Astyanax mexicanus: one gene and its partner. The protein of the gene in region 2 binds, or shares a complex with, the protein of the main gene of each other region. Links are inferred from orthologs where the notes say so. Each region holds a gene or a part of one and is shown on either strand. Other genes may lie near its edges.

What was found.
Region 1: pold2 (region 2) and pold3 share a complex: the UniProt entries of both Homo sapiens proteins name them as parts of the both the DNA polymerase delta and DNA polymerase zeta complex. The link is inferred for Astyanax mexicanus from reciprocal best matches to the Homo sapiens genes POLD2 and POLD3.

What each region holds. Positions count from the first base shown.
Region 1 is NC_064424.1:5,729,814-5,740,521, forward strand, and holds the start of pold3 (DNA polymerase delta subunit 3), read left to right. Parts: upstream 1-5,992; 5' UTR 5,993-6,068; coding exon 6,069-6,125; intron 6,126-7,821; coding exon 7,822-7,877; intron 7,878-7,965; coding exon 7,966-8,068; intron 8,069-8,996; coding exon 8,997-9,036; intron 9,037-9,162; coding exon 9,163-9,295; intron 9,296-10,522; coding exon 10,523-10,708. UniProt on the Homo sapiens protein: Accessory component of both the DNA polymerase delta complex and the DNA polymerase zeta complex.
Region 2 is NC_064419.1:31,902,002-31,913,612, reverse strand, and holds the start of pold2 (DNA polymerase delta subunit 2), read right to left. Parts: upstream 4,519-11,611; 5' UTR 4,345-4,518; intron 4,215-4,344; 5' UTR 4,206-4,214; coding exon 3,992-4,205; intron 2,043-3,991; coding exon 1,921-2,042; intron 1,615-1,920; coding exon 1,491-1,614; intron 1,318-1,490; coding exon 1,203-1,317; intron 980-1,202; coding exon 781-979; intron 185-780; coding exon 104-184; intron 1-103. Other genes in the region: sf3a1 (splicing factor 3A subunit 1), read right to left, coding at 6,078-6,179, 6,564-6,635, 6,837-6,938, 7,892-8,052, 8,169-8,376, 8,475-8,720, 9,763-10,070, 10,360-10,477 and 1 more. UniProt on the Homo sapiens protein: Accessory component of both the DNA polymerase delta complex and the DNA polymerase zeta complex.

The sequences.
Region 1 (10,708 bases), on a different chromosome or scaffold from region 2:
TTTCATTCTAGTCACTAGGTGTTTTTCAGTGCTGGTCAGGGTATTTTAGTGATAAAGATAAGGAAAAAACATTTTTAATAATTTTAAAACTGTTGTGAATAACAGTTTTAAGCAATCTGTAGAAAAAAACTAAACAACAAAACTAACAAAAGCAACAAAACTAACAAATACAATTTATACAATAAATGCTACATATTTTATACATTTTATTTATACAACAAATAAAGCATTGCAGTACTAAATATGGAAAATGTTTGCCTATTGGCTATTATCTAAAAACAATTGACAATATTATTGTGTACAATATGATATGCCACATCCCTAATTTGGATGGCTGACCACAAACATTTGGAAAGCAGCTTTTTTTTGCACTTTGAATAAAATTTCTAATGTGTTGTTAGTAACGTTGGATGAGAGTGGACAACGACATTAAGATCTATTGTGTTTATACTTCTGTGTTTGTGTGTCCTTGTCCACATTTCTTGGGAGGTGCATGTTGGGCTATGGTATAGAGTGTGGCGTAGGGTCTGTGGCTACGTGAAGGGTACACATAGAAGTATTATAGGTAGTATATATTATAGGTTGCTAGTAATATAATAGGTATAGCAAGTATAAATTGTCCTGTACTAACATAGCATTAACAATGCTGTATTCTGCATTGTATACCCCACTTACCCCAGAAAATGGAAAGCACTAAAAACCCTACTACCTCACTGGACTCTATTGCACACTGTGTAATAGAGTAATTACTACCTCACCTGGTCTTTTGTGCACACTGCAAAATTTGCACACTGTCTTGTTATTTATTATTCTTTGTCTGTATTGTTTTGTATTGTCTGTCTGCACTTTTGTACTGTTGCACTATTGTTCCGTACTGTTGCACGTTGTTTCGTTTCACTGTGTACTCTGTATGTAGCTGAAATGACAATAAAAACCACTTTGACTTTGACTTCTGGTAGTAATGTAGGATGAGGCTGGTAGCTGTATAAAAACACACAGTTCTCAATTTAGCATTTAGCTAGTTAGCTGGTATGCTCTGTTCCATGCATTTCCTGGACCTGGTTAAGCAACAGCACAAATAAAAACAGAAAACGGTAACCAGACTAACTAGAAACTTTATTCGCTTCAGCACAGATCGGTACTTAGTATTCATTTGGCCCTGCAGTGGTCTTAATATCACATTCCCCTGAAAGGCCTTTGCATTTTGGGATTCAGAAAATGTTTAGAGGGAAATTGTCCCCATCAGGACAAGCATGTGTGCGAGATCAGGTGAAAACATTATTTTCTCTCCACTGTGGTAATTGGCTGCAGCACACATTGCGTGACCTGCCCTGCCATGAATAACCACTCACCAAATGTGATTAGGAACAGTATTGCTATTCATGCAGCAACATAATCCAATTTTCAACTTATAGTCCAAAATGGAGTGACCTCACTAGAGTCTCTCCTCCCGCTGAAATACGTTGAGAATAAAACTGTCTGACTGCAGTTATGGTCACGGTCCTCAGAGGATTTCTACACCAACAGCAAGCATGAAGCCTCAGTGCGCACTGGTTCTGGTCCTGCTGGTTGTCCTGGCTCTGTACTGTGAGTATATCATGTTTTTACTATGTTTTGTAGGTGAAGCTGCGCAATACGGTAATATTTTATTGTGTCTTTTATTGTATAATGATAAACGCATTTCTTTACAAGTATACTGTGGATTTCGTCAGTGCTTCAAGTAATACACACTGACCAATGCAATGCAATGTTATCTCATATAGACATGTCCATATACCAGTACACTACAGGTCAAAAGTTCTTCAGATCCAGTGAATATCCTGAATATTGTAGTAAACTTAAATAGCATTAAAAAGTTAGCAGTAAAACGCCTGGGTGTTTGAGGAAAAATAACTTAAAACAGGAAAATTTGTGTACTGTAAAAAAAAAAAACAAGAATAGAGGAAAGTGGCTTTTTAGGAAACAAGTAATTGTTTAACAGCTTACAGTTGGCTGGTAGCAATAGAAACAAAATTTAATAAGTCTTAGTCTCTACTGCAGCATTTACACACTTGCACACAGCACAAAAAAGACACAGAAACACAGAGAACTTTGTAACTATTAAAAGTAAAAGTCTTTTTTTAGAGAAATTACAGATGAAGCCAGAGAGCGGTGAGTACTGTTTCCTACACCTTCTAAACACTCTTGTAAACTGGAGAAAACTGCTACAGGAAGACGTCTGGCTGACCCACATGGAAACAGCTTTATCCTTTAGCTCAGATTAACATGATTGAACTGAGTTTTAGCAGTGAAGAGAAGAATTAGAGGTCTGACAAGTGAAGAACTGCAGTAATAAAGTCATTGATAAGATGAATATGGTTAATCTTCAGCTTATTCAAATTATTCTAGCATGGTTAAACAGTATCTTTTTTTGTATGTAAAAATAAATACAATTACTATTATGATTATTATGAATTCAAGCTGTGTCTTAGCTGTACAGAACCAAAACAGTACTGCATTTTATTTTTGAAGGTAAAGAGAATGAGGCGGCGTCCTTCCCGTGGAGCTGTGCCAGCCTGAACGGAGTCTGCCGACAAGGAACATGTCTGCCTTCAGAGCTCTACTTCGGACCACTAGGCTGTGGAAAGGGCTCTTTGTGAGTTAAAACACTCTGTTATAAAATATACCCTAGTTATGATAAGTACTTACAATACTACTATTTTTTGTTTTTTTTGTAACTTTATTTTATTGAGTTTTACAAATCCAGGGTATCAACATAACATATGCTGTGTGCACACAAACAATAAAATAAAGTGTGTGTCTCTTATTAGAATAAATATAAACACATCTGTATATTCATCAATGTTTATTCAAATACAGAACAAGGGGATGCCATGCATTAGGATACCTATGGAATAATTTTGTACCAATAGGATTAAAAGTTTGTAAATCTAAATTATTAAAAAAAGTAAAAAAAAAGTTGTTGTTTTTGGACTAGATCTATCTAAAGATTTCAATTCAGTTTTATTTAAGTCACTTTCACAGAATTCTAACATGTAACATTTAAACGAGACAAACACATGCAGCACAATGCAGAGGAATTAAAACTAAAAACTCCAAAAGTTTGAAACGGGTTGTGCAGCATTATTTGAATTTTCTACATTAGATTAATTTGCACCTGGATTCAATTTAAAGTCTTAAATACAGATTTAATACAAGTTCAGATAGACCTTGTTCAACATCAAACTTTAATATTCTAATTCATATCACCCTCTTATTCAGTGTTTTTATGTATTTATTTTCTACATTGTAGATTAATATTAAAGACATTAAAACAATTAAGAGACACAAATGGAATTACGTAGTAAACAGTAAATAAAACAACACCTCCAGGAACTCCTTCCTTCAAGACGCTGAGAAAACTATTCCAGGTGACTCTCCCTCATGAAGATACTGAGATTAAAATACCAAGAGTGTGCAGATCAGTCCTTAAAGATAAATGTGCTACATTTTTTGTTTACAGAATAATTCAGCATGTGTTCCTGTAGAGCTTTAATATTTTCAATATTACATTTACAATGTAAAAAAAACATAATAAGAAAGAAAACACATTGAATAAGACGAGTTGTGTCCAAACCTTTGACTAATGCTTTATAAAATTCAGCACAAACATAATTTCTTAAATATCCATGTAGAGAGAAGAAGATCAATACAACATTTCAATTGAGCATCTACAAATATAGCTTTACAAGGCACAACTCATAGCTTAGCTTTTACATAGGCAACCATTTATTAATCTGATTCGCATCTTTATGGTAGGAATATATGGTTTTTCAACATAACAACAGGATACAGAACTGAATGTCAAAAGCAATACCAATATTTCTGAGCACTATGCAATGAATAAGACAATGCACAGATATGTAAATACATGTTTTGTTTTTTTCACCAGATGCTGCGTATCACACTTCCTCTGAATGCTATCAACTAAATCCTAGCAGCGTGTATCTGCTGAAGTGACGCCCATCATGTGAATCCAATAACCTGCATGTTTTGAAGTACTGCTATTTAATCAGGCCTGAGATGTCCAGTGTGGGATTGTATCTACAGGCCACTGTCGACCCCCAGCTTATTCAGATAGATGCTTTTGTGATTATTTGCAAATGCTTGTTGTGATATTGTGCATTATTAAACATGATGCAGGTTTACAGCATTTCTGATATTTGTTTAATTGTTTTGTTCATACTGTTTAATAAATACTTTCATTAAGTTAATTAAGGAGACAGAGATTTCTTGTTCATGATGTTCACAAAGTCTCATACTGTTTTATATATATATTATATTGTAGTAGTTTTAGGTTGTAATCTACTGTTAAATATTCTTAATAATCAAGTTGCTCCCTACATATATTAAAGTGATCCAATGTGAAGCCTACTTTATTTTTTTTGGCTTAATTTAATTTACAGGACAATTATTTTATCAATTACTAATAAATATTTATATTTTCAGTTGAGGGCAAAAAGCTGGTATTGCACAATACAGGATAAAGAAATGTGTTGTTAAAGTAATATATCATTATTGCAAAGGACTGTTTATACAAGCAAATATAATTGATTGCCAATTATCATTAGTATTGTATATGTAAGACTAAGTTTAATTCAGTTTTATTTCAAAGCTATCTAATGTAATTTTTAATAAGAACAAAATGCTTCACCAATGGTTAAATTCAGTTCATCAAATTCAGATTTAAATGTCAAAATAAAAAAAATGAATTTTAATTATACAGATTTATAAAATAAAATATTTAAGGCATAAATGTTTATTTCTCTGCTTGACTGTTTTTTTTATTTTCTCCATTGTTATATTAGAATATTACTGTGAGCCACAAGAAGTCCAAAATGAATGGGGGTCAAAGGAGCTAAAACTTAAAATAGTTACTATCCACATGTGTAGGATATTCATTTAATTATATAAAGTATTACAATGTATTTTACTAAATAAGCAAAGAAAACTTTAAATATATTTTAGTTTGAGTTACAGTGAGGGCAGGTTTAAAAGGTTTATAACTGGAGAATGATTTCAAAATTATGTTTTCAGCACTGTATGAAAAGGGATGTTGGTCAGTTGTACATATAATGGATAGGGAAGGAAAGTTTATCACTAAAAATATGTAATAAGAAGGTTTTAAAATTTTTGCTATGTTCAGAATTAATTTTATCCCCACTTAAAATGCCTGAGAGTGATGATCAGACAATAGCAAATAGCAAAAATGAATAAAATGCTTCATTTTGTGTAAAAAGTGGCACAAATGAACTTCATAGATTTTACTATATTTTATTCAAATTACATGTAAGTGTTTGGTATGGAAGCCCATTCCCGCCACCTAAAAAAAAAAAATCCAGCACATTTTTTTCTTACTTTTACTTAACCTGCTATCTCATTATTTTGAGATAGTAAATCATTATTTTGAGATAATATCTCATTTTTAAATTTTAAAATATTGAGTCATTCTTTTGAGATATCTCATTTTTCTGAGATACTATCTTAGTATATTGAGATAATATAATTATTTTAAAATAGTCATTATTTTGAGATACTGTGTCATTTTTTGGAGAAACTATCTTATTATTTTGAGATTCATTATTTTTAAAATAGTAAATTATTATTTGGAGATTGTATCTCATTATTTTGAGCTACTATCTCATTATTTTGAAATAGTAAGTCATTATTTTGAGACACTATTTTTAAGTCATTATTTTTTGGAGATACAATCTTAATATTTTGAGATTGTAAGTCATTATATTTAAAATAGTAAATAATTATTCTGAGATCTCATTATTTTGAGTAATAGTAGTAAGTCATTATTTTGCAAGAAAAACGTTTATGTTTAGCAGTGTACTTAATACCAATTCTCTATAATTATTGAGGCCCTAAATGTTAATCAGAGACGGTCTGTTTTTATAACAACTCGCTGAAGCGCGGGTGGCAGTGAACGCACCCCTTCCCGTCCGCGCGCACATGACAGGAAGTAAATAAAGTTTCCCGCGTTTCGGAGCTGCAGAGTGGAGCTGCTTCAGATTATCGCTGCGATGGACGATCTGTATTTAGACAACATAGACGAATATGTGAACGATCAGAATAAGATAGTAAGTGTCTGATGTTCAGGAGAGCGCTGTGTTTGAGGGCAGTGGGCGCTGCTTGGTTGATTGTGTCTGTTTAATAGCTGTGAGCTCTGGGGTGTGGGTTGGGGAACGCTGCATGATCAGTGTTCAGTATTGGTTTAGAGCTGGAGGTGGTGGGTTGTGTGGGTGTTTTATTAGTTTAACACTACGGAAAACTGCTTTTTTTATTTTCCTGCAAAAATACGGTTAACCTAGCTAATTTAGCTTGCATTAGCTGGTGTTATCACTGGACCCACTATTCAATGTGATTGACTAGCTAGCTTTAGCTAAGCTATGTTAGTAACCTAGGTTACCTATAGTTAGTTAGTTAGCTAGCTATGTTAGCTTAGCATATTTTCCTGCTGAAAAGTCCAGTCTTTGCAAGCTAAGCTAAGTACATGAAGGTTTCCAGATTATCTAAGTTTACCAAATGCCATTATACAAGCTGGCTACTAGGGGTGGGCGATATGGCTCTAAAATAATATCACGATATTTCAGGGTATTTTTGCGATAACGATATACTTGGGCTATATAGGAAAACTAAAATAATTTATTAATTTCAGGAATATAGAATAAGAGTATAACAGAATAATCATAATGTGGCAAAATAAATAATATAGCATAAAATAATATAATGCATCAAATAATATTGCAGAATATTTAGTGCATGCATATAAACTGCAAACTAAAACAATTATACAATAAATACACCTAAAGCTTCACAGTAAATAATAGACTACTTTTAAGACAGAACAGCCCTATTATCATGACATGGATTTTTAATATCATGATATTTCTGTCACGATATATTGTATACGATATAATATTGCCCACCCCTACTGGCTACTTGGCTAGATAAGCTTCTAAAGCTGTTTTAATGCGACAAACAATGTTATTGTCCTTTTAAGAACATTAAGTGCACCTGACATAACCATAACAATACAGAAATAATAATACATTAAGCATAACCAAGCTTCCATATATTTTTGAAGAGAGTAACGTTACATTTAAGCAGTAATAAACAAGAGGGAGTATCCTGATTAGTTTAACACGTTTTAGTTAAGTTACTACACAATTAATTATGTGTTGCTTTATAGTCTGGATCACTTCACTATTCATTTACTATGTAGGAAAAAACCTCTGTAAGCAGCAGTGTGTGGACGAGCATTGACCTGCTGGAATAAAGCACATCTTTAACATAACCTTGGGCTGATAGAGTGCTTATTTTAATCCCACACCATAAAATCATACGTTTTAAACTGGATATAAAATCAAGCTATAATACACAGAACATGGAACATGGGAAATTAAAATAAGAAAGCATGCCGCTCATTATGTAAATGCAGTTAATCAAATTCAGATTTGAATCTTAGAAACACTTTTTCATCCTGGTACTTGCAAAAAGCAACAAATCTCTAGCTTAATCTCTGCAGTTTCGGGCTTTCAAACATAAAGAAATGCTAGAGATTCCGGTTAAGTCAGCTGGAATCTCCTACATTTCTCTGGCATTGTGCTACGTTTGTTTTGAAAGTGACTTGAAATGCTCCTCTTTGGACAAGCTTCATTAAAAATAGCTAATTTCAAATCTTGGTCAGTTTTAAACAATAAAGTAAAAAAAAAAAATGTGTTGTGAAAAATAGTTTTGCTATATTTGATGGATTTTCCTCTTTTATATTCACAGGTCACATATAAATGGCTCAGTCTTACTCTGGGAGTCCATGTCAACACGGCTAAACAGTAAGTATATGGCTATACTATTATTTATTTTTAGTAAAGGCTGTTTGAGGTGGGCCGACAGACATAGCTTTTTTTTCATGTATTGCAGGATGCTTTATCACTACTTAGACCAGAGACGCAAGGAGAGGTCTGGAACCACACTGCATGCCACCTACCTTGTATCCGGAAAGTGCAGTGAGAATGGGAGTGTGGTGAGTATGGAGACCAGGATTCTTTTATGCAGAGTTTATTACTGTAAACAAAGATGTTCCACGTGATTTAGCAAATCATTTTTTTACTGTTTTGCAGTATCTGTATTTGTGTTTCAAAGATGCTTTAGTGCAGAAAATCCTGATTCACAGGAACAAAAAGTTACTGCACATTATTTACATTTACTGCATTTAACTGATTCTCTTATTCAGAGCGACTTACAAAATTAGTCCTATTACAGAGGTGGTCCAGTGTAGTGTTAGGAGTCTCGCCCAAGGTCTTTAATTGGTGTAGCATAGCATCCAGACACCCAGACCTGGAATTGAACCTGAGGTGTCTCCTGCTTAAATATGTTATTTTTTTTTTTCTCCCCCCTCACATTTATTTATTATATATATTACATAGACCGTTCACAGCTTTATACCCTCTAAATGAACATGTTAAATAAAACCATATATTTATTGAAACAAATAAAAATAAATCAAAATTAACTTAAATCAGTTTATTTAGATTTTAAAGTTGCTAGGCCAGTGTTACTTGGTCCTTTTTCTACATACAATAAAAATGTCGGCCAGTTTCGTTGTGAAATATCTACCAATTCTACACATTGGCCGGTACCAAAGATTCTTAAAAAAAGCAATTATCGGCTGATGCTGATATATTTCCAATATCATCGTTCATCCCTAGAAAACTCCCTTGATTATTAGCATCGCTCTATTGTGTATCAGGACCCCCAGGTTAAAAACCTATTTTAACCTCCTTTATGCATTTAAAAATAAGAGGTTATTAGAATTACATGAGACCGACCAACATTGGCTTGTCTTCCACAATATAATGTGATCTAGAACACCTGAATACCTAAATACCTTTTCTGAATACCTAAATGTTTTCTCTTTTATTACCTGAAATATTTTCTGTTATTCCTTTTAGTGTCATAAGGTGTCCGTGGTGCGTGAAGATCAGCTTGATGGTATGATTATCTTTTCTGATGTTTCAGAGAAAAAAATTAACATGTATAATGTTCAACCTACACAATTCAATTTAAATTTGAGTAGATCTTTACACCGTTCCTCTCTTATGTTCTTATCTGTTCTAGATACGAAGTCCAAGCTGGATAAAACCATTAGTGTTCATGTGTACAGTGTCCAGAAGGCTGAGCTGAAGGATAGCGGCCCACTCTACAGTACAGACTATGATGCTGTGAAAGAGAACCTGAAAAACTGCAACAAGTATGGGATTTAAGATCTGTTTCCATGCATATTATGGGGATTATGACAACATTCCTTTTAGGGCCTGTTAGAATCAATCAATCAATTCCAATTCACAAGGTCCCAATTTGATTTGGTTTAATTCAGTACAATGTATTTTAGGAATGTTATAGTGTATTGTTTTTGTTCAGATTTGAAAGAGACTTTCAGAGAACTAATGTTATAATTGTATAAGGGACAACCAATCTACCATTATTAAAATTATAAGTGTTTACCTGAAGAATTAACCCAAGCAAGATGCATTTCTGTTTTTGTTATTCAATGTGTCCATATCATAACAAGAGTGTCCATGTAATGTAATCAGGCATTCAGCTTATTTACTTCTACAGAACTTCAGTGTAAGAAAAGAGTGAATTTAATCAATGCTTGGATTAATTTTCTCTTACTCTGAATGTAACTGCCAGTGCATTTGAAGTGGAATGTAAAAGTCAGTAACTTGTTTGCTAGCTAAATGTGAATTACTAAAAATAAGACGCATCTTGTCTAGTAGTTTAGTAGACTCTTATAACATTTAGTGAGAGAAAACTAAATCTTTTTGCTAATATTAGCTGAGCTTCTCTAACGCTAAAGCATGTTTTGGAACTCTGCAAATAGATGACTTTTACGCACATGAAAAATAGGCTAATTTTAAAGATTAATCTTAGGTTTGTATGAATCACTGATTTTAAATGAAAAATCATTTTTTAAAAGATCCACCTCTAATTCCTGTTAATGATTTTGTTTAAATCTTATTCTGCTCACAAATGTTGGAATATTGAAATAAACATATTATAATTTATCTTAATTTATTCTAATGAAGTAGGTGGTAATTTTTCCCCACAAATTAAGCATTTTGTCAAAAAGCTATTTCTTTCCCAAAGTGAAACAAATTGAACTGATTTGTGGGAAAGTTTGAGATTTTGTTATTCGTTGTTGTCTAAAGGTGCACTAAACCCCCTGATTTTAGTTGACTCCTCCCTGAGCTGAAAATGTGAAAAAGGGTCAGTAAAGTATCTTATAACATGTTTTGCACAGAAACCAAAAAAATGGCACATGTGCAGATTGCAGTTAAACCTGTTAAAATGACAATCTTTGTAAGTCACTGGTGAGCAGATATGTACATAGCATGGAAAAAAATAGTTTGAAATGTTTTATTTATATGTTATGTTAGCAGGTGGCATTCTCAGTAATTTGTTTGACTGTTTGCAGGTATAGCACTATCCGCTGTGCAGCCGCTGTACCGCTGTCCCACACAGAGCTGCAGAAAGTCCAGGAAAAGGTTGTGGAAAAAGAAGCTACTAAACCAAGTCTGAATGACCACACAGCAGCTGCTCCTAAACCCAGTGTAAAACAGCCTAAAGGCATTATGGGAATGTTTTCCAGCAAAGCTGCTCC
Region 2 (11,611 bases):
TTTATTGACAGTATGAAACCACTGAGATTCACAGGGACGAAAGGGGGGGGGAGGGGAGGAAAAAAAATAAAAAAATAAAAAAATAAAATAAAATAAAACTCACCACTAACTGAACTAGCAGTTCATCCAGCAGCCTGATGGCCTCCACACTGCCGGCCTGTGTCTTTTTAGTAAGATATTTTGCCTGGACGACAGAAATAAGAAGCCGATAAATATCTTTTTGATGATAATTTTATCCATGCAATAATATTTAGGTGTGGAACTCAATCTACACTCGATCTTTAATATGAATTTGAAAATTCACAATCAAATATCTCACTCATCACTCACTCATCAATTGGTAATAAAAACATTCCAATTGGTCTTCACACTGTTGCATGTTTTGGGCCCTTGAGATCTCTCATTTTTTCCCCCACGTTTTATCTTTTAGCAATTAACCCACCCACTCACTCAATATGACTCAAACTATGTATCAAACAGCCACCAATATAACATCAACAAGCACCCAACTCATGCAGAGAAAAGTGCCAGATTCCCAGCTCTGATACATCAGCCAGCAGAGGCCTGTGCTGACCAGCTTCACAACAGGAGTGATAAGGGAAGAAATTACCATCTACCCCCTCAGAGAGAGGCTACAGATGGCAAAGTCCTTACTCGCTGGTCATATGTGTAATGTGAAATTGGGGCAAACATTTGTTCACTGCACAGTATGTTCTTTATGTAATGAAACATCTAGTTCCACAGGTAATCTAAGGTGAACCTCCACCTTCCTCCACCCACCTTGGTGGTGGAGTCTTTGTCCTGTGTGCTCTGACTGAGAAGGTTTCCAGCCAGCAGAACATGAGAGATGGAAGCTGCCCCGCTCTGCTCTCCCAGATCCCCAAGGTGACCTGTGACCATGTCAATCAGCAGCTGCAGTCCCAGCATGCTGTCTGCTCCACTACCACCCAATCCCAGGCCAGAAGCCAGGAGCACAAACCTGCAGTTACAGTGGAAACAGAATAATGGGTCAGAGGGGTGTGTAGAAAAGCTCTTCATATATAGACCTTGATCAAATGTTATTCCCTTAATGTGGTATTGGTTTTGATGTTCTAACTGATAGATGCATTACATAAATATAAAAGTGCATTTATTTTTATTGTGTGCAAAGGTTTATTTATTTTTCCCAATTTAAAAATAAGTGTAAAAGCTGACTGGGTTACCGATCTGAGTTCAGAGGCTCTCTGGGAGCTTGTGGAGGAAGGTCAGCGAAGCAGTAATCCTCTACTGTAAATTTACCATCATTCTTCTCTGCGCCCATAATCGCAATCACACTCCCTGTGGACCAATAAAACAGATTATCAAAGCAGATCTAATACATTTTGTGAAATCTTAAGTAAATGAACCAAACTGAGACCATCCAGTCAACACATTACAAACTCAAATGTATGTTATATATTACTACCGGTATAAGGGTTATAAAAAAAAAACAAAAAACCCCTCATTTTTACCAGTAACAAACTTGGCTGTTTCGATTTTGCCCTCCAGTTTGATCCTCTGCAGCTCATCCTCTAGAATCAGCTCGTCTGACTGGCTGATGTATTTGGCACGAGGCGGCTGGGGCAGCAGGTTGTGCTGAGGTAATCAAAAGAAATGATAAAGAAGAAAGTTAAAAAAAAAAAGTAAAGAAAAGAAATATTCCAAATGATCACAAACAGAACATAAAAGTTTACATTAACAGCATTCCAACCCCCAAAGAAGGTTATCTACAAAAAACATTTTTGACATAAATCTGGCAGTTTAAGTTCAAGGCTTGGCCAATACAAATGCTCCAAAATTTGTGATATCTTTTTAAATAGATTCCCATTTCTTTTTGCAGCAAAAGTGCTGTTTTTGAGACATCCAATGATGATTGATGGGTTGGTTTATTTTCTGGACTACCTCCTCGCTGATCTCCTTCAGTATGGACGGCTGCAGCTCCATGTGCTTGAATATGGTGCCCACGATCACACACTGTTCACCCATCTGCAGATCACAGAGCTTCTTGATTGGTATGTCAGTACCTGAAAAAACATGAAACATCGAGTTAATAACAGGAACCTGATTACCCAGGAAAGACATCAGCATCACTAGCCAAACACAGCAGCAGGCAGACATCTTCCTGTTTCATTTTTTCCTTTGTTGTTGGGCTCCATAATTTCGCAATGCATGGGACACAGACTGAGTCTCGGTACTGAGGAATAAAAACAAAATCCAGATATAAACATGGAATATGCACGGTAATACACAAAAATCTCAGAGCTAAGTAAAACTAACATCATTCCAATACAGATCATTTAACTCAGGATTAATTAAGGACAGAAAATAAATATTATAAAAAGGTATATACATGCCAATCCAGGCTGACTTTCCAGTCCACAAGCGTTATCTTGCATGATTCAAAAAAGGCTTTGTAGAAGACATATTGTACTAGCCTGTGCTTCTTAAATATTAACTGCACTAATATATTAATGGACACCATATATTTAAGCCACTTTTCCTTGAGTACATTTTACTTGAAACAAACAAAAACATTAAAAACTCACCAGTGCAAATATCAAATGTATATCAAAATATCAACTGCATGTGTGTAAACCATGTGACTTTTTAAAGAAGAATTTATTTAAGGGTATTTAAATGTAAAAAAAAAATAATAATAATAATAATAATTTCTGTTAGATTGGATAAAATAATTATATTAGTATCAGTGGTATTTAAAAATAAAATCACCACAATATTCAAAATCATGATTTATTCTTTAAAATGGGGATAGTTTCCTGTATTTCTGGGAGGGAAACAGTGATAATAGTGTAGTGTGGATTAGGGAGAGCGGCTGAGAGTCTTCAGCAGAGCGATGCTGTGTCCATTATTTGGAGAAAAATAAAGTGTGGATAAAAGTGGAGTATGGCTTTATAGAGGTAGCTTGCTGGATTAGCCTCATTGCTTACTAGCTAGCAAGAAAGTATTATCATGGCTAATATAGAAGGGAACCCAGCCTCTCCTGGTCAGATAACTTATAAATCAATCAATCAGTGTTAAAAAGCATTAGACTTCCACATATGTCTAATATAATTAGCTGAATAGCCCCAGCAGCAGTGGAAGTAGGTAGAAAATTCATAGTTAGAGTTCATATAAACTTTAATGTAAACCTGGTGTCCCAGGTAGTTGCTCAGGTTTTGTAACGTCATCATTGTTTTAACCTTGTTAATAATACTAAAAGTAATAATAAATTAATAATAATAACAATAATAAATGATCAGACATCCCAAGTTGCAACAATTAATTTCAGTGAGGTACCCCAGACCCGAACTTCCCCCCAACCACCCCACAAACAAAACAAAAAAACAAAAACAAGAACTAGCGCACTCACAAAGCATACCAAAGGATCATAGAACTTTTATATATGGTCACATTTAACTTACCTCAACATGCCTTTTGCAATCATTTAGTCCTCATGGTCAACACTAAAATTACTATTACAAACTGTACAGCGGGCAAGACTTTCACTGTTTTTACCAGACATGGATATGCTTTAAAGTAGTCAGAGGTAAAATGAGTTTTGATGGGAGCCACGATGCTCCTGAACGCATCCCGTCCAGGAGGAAAAAAAAAAAAAAACACTGCCCGCCCACACTAAAAACTGACTGGCTGACCCAGAGACTCTTTGCAAAGAACAGGCCAATCAGAACACTCTCTGTTTTGCATGCACTTTATGTGTTCACTCTTGGGCCACTCGTTCTAGATTCCGGGAGATTTTATCTGACTTGCGGGCATCAGGGAGCCGTTATGGATATGATATCAATTGTAGACTCCCGCAACTTCCGGGAGACTTGGGTAATCTGTAATAATTATATTGTATTCGATATTAGTTTATAGGTGCTTTGGCTCCTAGAATCCATCATAAGGTATTTACAGATTCTTCTGTATTTCCAAAGCGCTGCCCCACTGTAACCAGTACACCCAGAATTCTCACCCCACTTCTGCTCGGCTCTGTCCTTCAGGATGCCGCGCATCTGCATCAGTCTGGCGGCGTACATGTGCGCGTACTGCCGCTGGAAGCTGCGCTCCCCCAGCCCGAAGCCCTCACTGCAGCCGCTGTACGTGCGCTCATCCCGGGAGAACACCGGCCTCTCCGTTCCTGGAGGAGCCAGCAGGGTCTCCTTCTGCTCCGTAATATCCGAGAACATGACCGAAAACTGCGGAGAGGAAATAATATATACACAATAAACAAACAAACCCAGAGCCTTCAGACCCACACACACCTAAACCCAGAGCCTTCAGATACACAGTGAGTACACGAGCTCGCTCTCTAACCCTCATTCTTACCGGTTTCGGGGTTCAGGACTCTCTTGTACAGTGGGTTAGGTCCTTTACTGTAAAAGTGCTGACAGTTTATAGGACACACACACAGCTATAAATTAATAAATAAACATAAACAAACAGAGAAACACAAACACACGGCAACTTCAGGATCTCCCGCTAAATATCGCACCGCCTCAGGATGTGACAACATTACTACAAAGCGCTGCCTTCATAATAAAAGTCACGAAAAGGAAAAAAAGAAACGATTTTCGCCCATTCTTATAATATATTCTTAGAAATTCAACCTTCTGATATATAAAAATATATTGAGAAAAGGACTTAGCTCTTTAAAGACACAACCACAAAATATTTGCTAAAATTCTTTTGTTTTTAAACCGTATATAATAAAATATTAATACAGAAAGAAAACAAATAACGCTTCACATGCAGGACTTTTATGGATCATACTTGATACATTAGAATTTGAAGTTTTCTTTCGCAAAAGCAGGTATGTGCTCCACTTTAAACACACCTTTATCTGTTTTTGCAACAGATAATCCATCAGGGGGCAGAAAACATGTGTCTGATTTTATTTTTGTATTAAATGTATTAATAATTATTTAACTTATATTCGTGTTATTGCTTAGATATGAGTAAAACAAACGTGCATTGTATATGGAATAAACATGCTTACATAAATGTTGTCAAGCGACATCATTTTTTTTATTTATTTGCTTGTTTGTTTACACTTACATACTCAAAAATGCAATGCTGACCGATAAATAAGGACCTTGCAATGTATAACATAGCATACATATGTCCTCAATAAATTTAATACTGTTCAAATAAATTGTCTATAATTGCATGCATCTAAAACTTGACTTTTTCCACTTTAATTTAAAAAAATGATTTGGATAAAAATGCTAAACGGAAAAATAAAAAATTAATGCCCTTCTTATTTTAGGTTATATTTAGCTTTGTTGGTGTGTCTGCCTGGATGTAAAAAATATTCAGTACTCAACATAAATTTAAAATTGCAGTAATTTTTTCTAAGTAAAATTAACAAATATATTTAGAGTATTTAATTTATTGCAATGGTGAAAAAAGTGGAAAAGTTATTACACTCTGCAAAAGAGTTTATTTGGTGTATTACTACCATTTAAATATCACGTTTCATTCAGCAAATATTTAATATCTGATACCAGACATATGCAGTAGTGGTGGCTCAGTAAGAGCTCTGGATTATTTAGTGTTGTTGGTTTCCTATGAACAAATTCCCTTATTCCACTCCAGGGGGCGCTGTAGCACATCTCACCTCAGCCTTGTCAAACTGGACTAAGACAATTGTGTTTTCCTGTACATATAAATGACAAATGCTTCGTTTTCTGATGCAATAGCTAGAGGTTTAATGCCAAAAAAAACACATTATTTAAGGTTTTTCCTTAAATTTATTTGATTCTGCTTTGTAATAACATTTTCATTTTTTTCATTTCAGAATCTCACAAAAGCAGTGTTTTAGATCTGAAAGGTGAAACATAAGCCTAGTATCAGCCAAAACAGTAAAACATACTTAACTACACAAGATAAATGCCTAACACTATAGACATTTCATACAAGAGTGTGACAGTTCCAAGGAATCCAGCTTGTTGATAACAGTATAAACTACCAAGCAAAAACTGCAGCAATTTCTACATATGAATCTTCTAAACAGGGATGGTAATAGAGCTGAGCAGTAGGAGGAGTTTCGAGAGTATAAACTACTTCTTCCTTCCTCCTCTCTCCTTGAGGGCGAGATGAATAACAGAGCCGTTGTTCATGTTGTAGTAAGCCAGAGAGTTTGAGTCCTTGATGAAAATACCCTGCAGACGAAAGATACAGTTTCAATTAGCAGAGAGAATTTAATTATGTTTAATAAATAATGATAATTTTTTGATAGTCACACAGGTCATGCAAGCACAGTAAAATAAAATAGATTAAAGGGCTGTTTTATTTTCTCCTCTGGGGACTGAATTACTGATTGATGCATACTTGTAATTTTGTATGATTTTAGGAAAAAATGAGTCATAACTTATTTTTATTCGTATACAATCTTTTCCCAGCTTATTTTTAGCTCAGAAATCCACTCGATATATGGAAATGTAATATAAAAAGTGTGTACTGGTTGGCAAACTGTTTTGTGCAGCCGAATTCCCTTGTATGGATTAAGAAGTGATCTGCGTTTTTTGAAAATTGTTATAATTTACCTCATATTGAAGTTTCTGTTTGCCTGCAGGCATTCCAGTGGCTTCATGGATCTTAACCTTGATAACAGACACCTAAAAAAAAAAGAGAAATACTTGTGAATAGGAACAATGTGAAGAGAATGATTTTATTTAAACACATAAAAAAAAAAATAAAAGAATAAATACTAACTTTATTATTTAAACATGTTTAAGGTTAATAATCAATTCAAAAAGAGAGAAATATATCCTCTGTGTTAAATGATTAGTCAGTGCACTGTTGGCGGGCCTCTTTACCTGGTCTGTTAGAGGCATGGTGAAGTTGAGCACTTGTCCATTCAGCTTCCATTCGGTCTTGTCCTGCATGTTGGGTACCTGAACTTTGACTGCCACGGGACCCTGAAAGGCATAAAATCTTACAATTAGTGAGAAACTCAAAGAATGTATCACAACACCCACTTTTTCATCCCTGTTGTCATGACATACACAAAGTCTACATAAAAAGTGAGCTAGTCACAATAATTTAATAATGAAACTTTAATTTTTATTACAATGAACCTTCTTAAACCCCAATGTTAAAAACAACATTGTGTGCAGTGCACTAAAAAATAAATGTGAAAGTTTCTTAATATATATAAGATAAGATACCCTGGTCACAGTTTACAGCCCTGCAGTACTCCTGTGTGTGCACAGCGGTGCTTGGAAGTTTGTGAACCCTTTCCAATTTTCTATATTTTTGCATAAATATGGCCTAAAACTTCAAAAATATTTGACTTGCTCATTTATTTATTGAAAATTATACACTATTACATAGTTGTGAGTGGCAAAAAATGTGGTGACCATAATTAGGAGAATCAGTACCATGTTTGCCTCGCATCTCTGTGGCATTTGTCTCCAGTCAAGCTTGGTGATCAAAATTGGCCCCAAAAACATTGATTGGTCAATCTCTATTAATATTGTATTATTTTTCACAATAAATAAATTGCCAAGTATAATATTTTTGTCTCATTTGTTTAACTAGATTCTCTTAATATACTTTTAGGAAATCAGCACCTTCCACAACATTTTGACTGAATTATGGTCAGGACTGTGACTTGACTGAAAACATCCAATATAATTTTTAAATGAAAAGTTCACATCATTTTGTCATTCACAAATATGTAATATTGGATCATTTTGCTTAATAAATAAATGACAAAGTAAAATATAAACAAAAAATCTCATTTGTTTAACTAGGTTCTCTTTATGTACTGCTAGTAATATAATCTGATAATGTTTTAGGTCATATTTATATTCTAAAGGGTTTACAAACTGATAAAAAGCACTGTATATCCTACTAGTACACACAGCACCTTGTTTCTGCGCAGGAATTCCTCTTCGGGTATCAGGTTGTCCTCTGTCTTCATCTTCTTGTTGACTGGCTCGTCCTCGTGGGGAGGTGGAGGGTGAGCAGGTGGCATTGGGGCTGGAGCTGCACTGGGAGGCTGTGGCACTGGAGGGGCTGGAACAAATGCTAGAGGGAGAAACAAAAGACCTTCAGTATCTATTCTTCAAGAAGCATCTTGGCCTCTTAACTGTTCCTGTAATAATTGCTGACCGAAGCAACAGATGTTAACACTGTCCTCTTACCTGCAGGGACCACCATAGGTGGAGGTCTTGGAGCCATGATGTGTGGAGCTGTGGGAGGCATGGGCACCACATTGATGCGTGGCGCGTGTACCATGGGTGGCATGGGGGTCAGCACCTGCCCAGGGGCCAAACGCACCACAGGAGCCATCGGGGGCCGTGGAATAACGGGCACAGCAGACAGCAGAGTGGTCCGGACTGGGGGTGGAACCTGTAAACCAGAACAAACAAACACAAAAAATAACAGTTAAATCCTATTCATATTATATGATTTATATCACCTTTTTAAACTCCAGAAGGCGCACTGACCACAGGTGGGGGCTTAGGCATGGTGCTGATTGGTGGGCTGGGTTTGGGTAAATTGGCCACAGAGGATGGCATTGGAGGCTGGGGCAGCTCATTAGGTTTGCTGGGTCCAATCTTCTCCTTGGTGTCATCCTCCTGCACCAGACCCTTGGCTTTGTGGATGGCTTCGATCTGCTCCTGCAGGGTGATGTTAGCTTGGGCGGCCTGCTGAGTACGAGCCATACTGCCAGAGTGACCGTCCCATGTCACCTGGAGACAGAATGGGACAGAAAAACAGACATATTAAAGAATGAACATTTATTGCAGTTTAAATATGTGCATTATTCTGCAAAACATTCCTGTCAGACTGGAGTCCACACTGCAGATTTCTACTGGATTACCTTCAATCAACAGTTACTACTCTCAGAATGCAAACACTGCAGATCTATACTGTAATGGATTTCTTACATTACTGTAAGAATCCAGTTCCTATTAGGGCTGTGTGTGGTCAAGAAATTTTGCTATACAACACGCATCATAGTAAAGGGTTTACAATAACACATTGCGATGCTCTAAGCAAGGCGATATATATAGACCATTTTACACTTTCCATATGTTTGGTAATACGGAAGCATAAACAGTAGCTGTTTCCAGTTGTATTCTAATTAATGGCTGAAGCTAATGGCTGAAGCTAATACACCAATAATTTCCCAATAACAAAAAACAAAAAAAACTCCCGTTGAATTACGTGTCATTTAAAAGAGGAAATCAACAAATGAGAGGTTAACCTAACCGGAGTGACCCATGATTCAGCCCTGCGTTCATCCCAAAACAGTTTGAAACTAAATACCATGTACAAAACAATAATTAAAAACTCTTACCTCAACATCAAAATTAGTTACCTCAGCATTAATTTAGATTATCATCAGTAATGGCTCCCTGAACAGTGTTTTGGAGACTAGTTTAATGTAGAAAAAAGATGCTGTGGGACTAAGTGAGGAACTTGACTTTTTTCTACTCCAAAATGAAGCACAGTTAGTGTTATTTTATTCTGTCTGTTAAAGATGTTTGGGGAAAACTACAACCGATAAGCACCCTGTTCAACAGTGTAGGCAGAGGTTTGATACCGCTACTATTCAGAGCCAGACGTAACGCCATATCGGCTGTGAAAAAGGTATGATTTAATTGTATGAGATGTTAAAGAATAAAAACAACATGGCTATCTAGTGGGTAGGGATTTAAAAACAACATGCAATGTACCATCTTAAACTAATCACTTAAAAACAGTTGTTTTTTAGTCTCCCTCACTAACCTTCTCCTCTGGTTTCTGGATCTCTTCCTCTCCGATCTTCTTTCCGATAGCCGTTTCCTCCACACCGAAAATATCGGTACGTCTCTCGGCGAGCTGCTTCAGGCTGCTCTCGATGTCCAGGCCGGGGGCGTACACTTCCTCCTCTATCTGCCGCTCGCGGATACTGCGGTCTCTCTGCTCCAGCCAGCGTGGGTCCAGCAGGCCGATACGCATGTGCTCTTGCATCTTACTGGCCAGAATCTTCTCACCGGTGATGGGAGAAATGAGGTACTCATCCGTAGTCTGGACAGGAGCCTGGGGCTTAGAAGCTGAAAAATAGGAGACCAAAAACAAAAATAAAATGTGTCCAGAATAAAGAACAATTAATAATTAAGGCATCAGATGAAATTAAATCTAAATGCAGACAGCTCATGAAATAACTACAAATAGAGAAATACATTAGACAACATATTGCAGTTATTGTAATATAATTACAATACAAAAACTACATTGTAAAATGTATTATCATATAAAATAATTACCAATATAGCCACACAGAAATTTATTTCAGCATTGTTTCACACAAAAAAAAATAAAAAATATAAAATGGGGTCTCACCCTTGGGGTCATAGTCTTTCCGGATGATGACCTGGTCTGGGGTCGGTGGCAGTGGAGGGGGCATAGGATTATCAGGGGGAAGAGGAATCTTCATTCCATCTTCATCATCATCAGAACCCTGTGAGACATAAAAGACAGTCCTAAATTCCAATGTTTGAATAATTGCAGATATTTGTTTGTCAAACATTTCAAATAATAAACTGAGTCTTGTGTCTCGAGGAAGACTGTGCTAGTCTTAACTCTCTCAGCCCTATTCCTTTATCGAAGAAACTGATAATTACTAAACTGATAGCACTCTCACCTCATCCATATCTTGTAGCTGTGTATCCTGATCAGGCTGAGCTGCACGACCATCATCTCGGTTCTCACGCTCGTCATCCTCATCCTCACTCTCCACCTCCATCTCCACTTCCTCACTCTCTCCGTACTTCTCATAGCGCTCCTGGATCAGGATGCGAGCACCCAGTTCCTCAGGAGTAGTGGGAGGAGGGAAGTTACCTATGGGCAGAGTTATTAACACATTCAGACCAGGCAGAGCGACATAGTATAAATCTCTATTAATACAATAACATAGTGCTGGACGATATGGCCAAAATTTATATCACGATATATTCCTTAAATTTCGGTCGATACGATATAATTTCGATATCGATAAATACTTTGAAGGCCTCAGAAAAAGAATCCCTGCAATCTCTGCTGCTTGCACTGCAAATTTAAATTATTATTTAACTGTGTATTTGCACTTTTTGTATCAATCTATCTAATGGAAATCTGTACCTACTACTGTATGAAAATGTTTTTTAAGTCTTTGAAACCTCCTTTCACAAAAAACTTTAATACTTTAGAAATAAAAGTAGTCAAAATAAATCAATGCTCAATTTTATTTGCATATAGCAAAATAATAACATGACATCCCTGTCAAACATAAGCCTATATAACTATTACAAATAAAAATAACTTTAAATGACAACAGAGGCAGAGCTTCTTATTCATTGTAAACAAATTTAACAGATTAAAACAAAAGTGTTTTAACTAGGATATATAATACAAGAAGCCTTTATATACATAAAAGCAACAAGATTTTCCCGTCAAATAAACAAACCTATATGATTTTTCAACTATAAATAACTTAGTGACAACATAATCTATTAAAGTGCTTTAGTCAGAATACAAGAGGTATTCAACATGATATCCACGTCAAATAAACAAACCTAAAGGATTCATAAACTTTAAATAACTTAGTTTCAACATA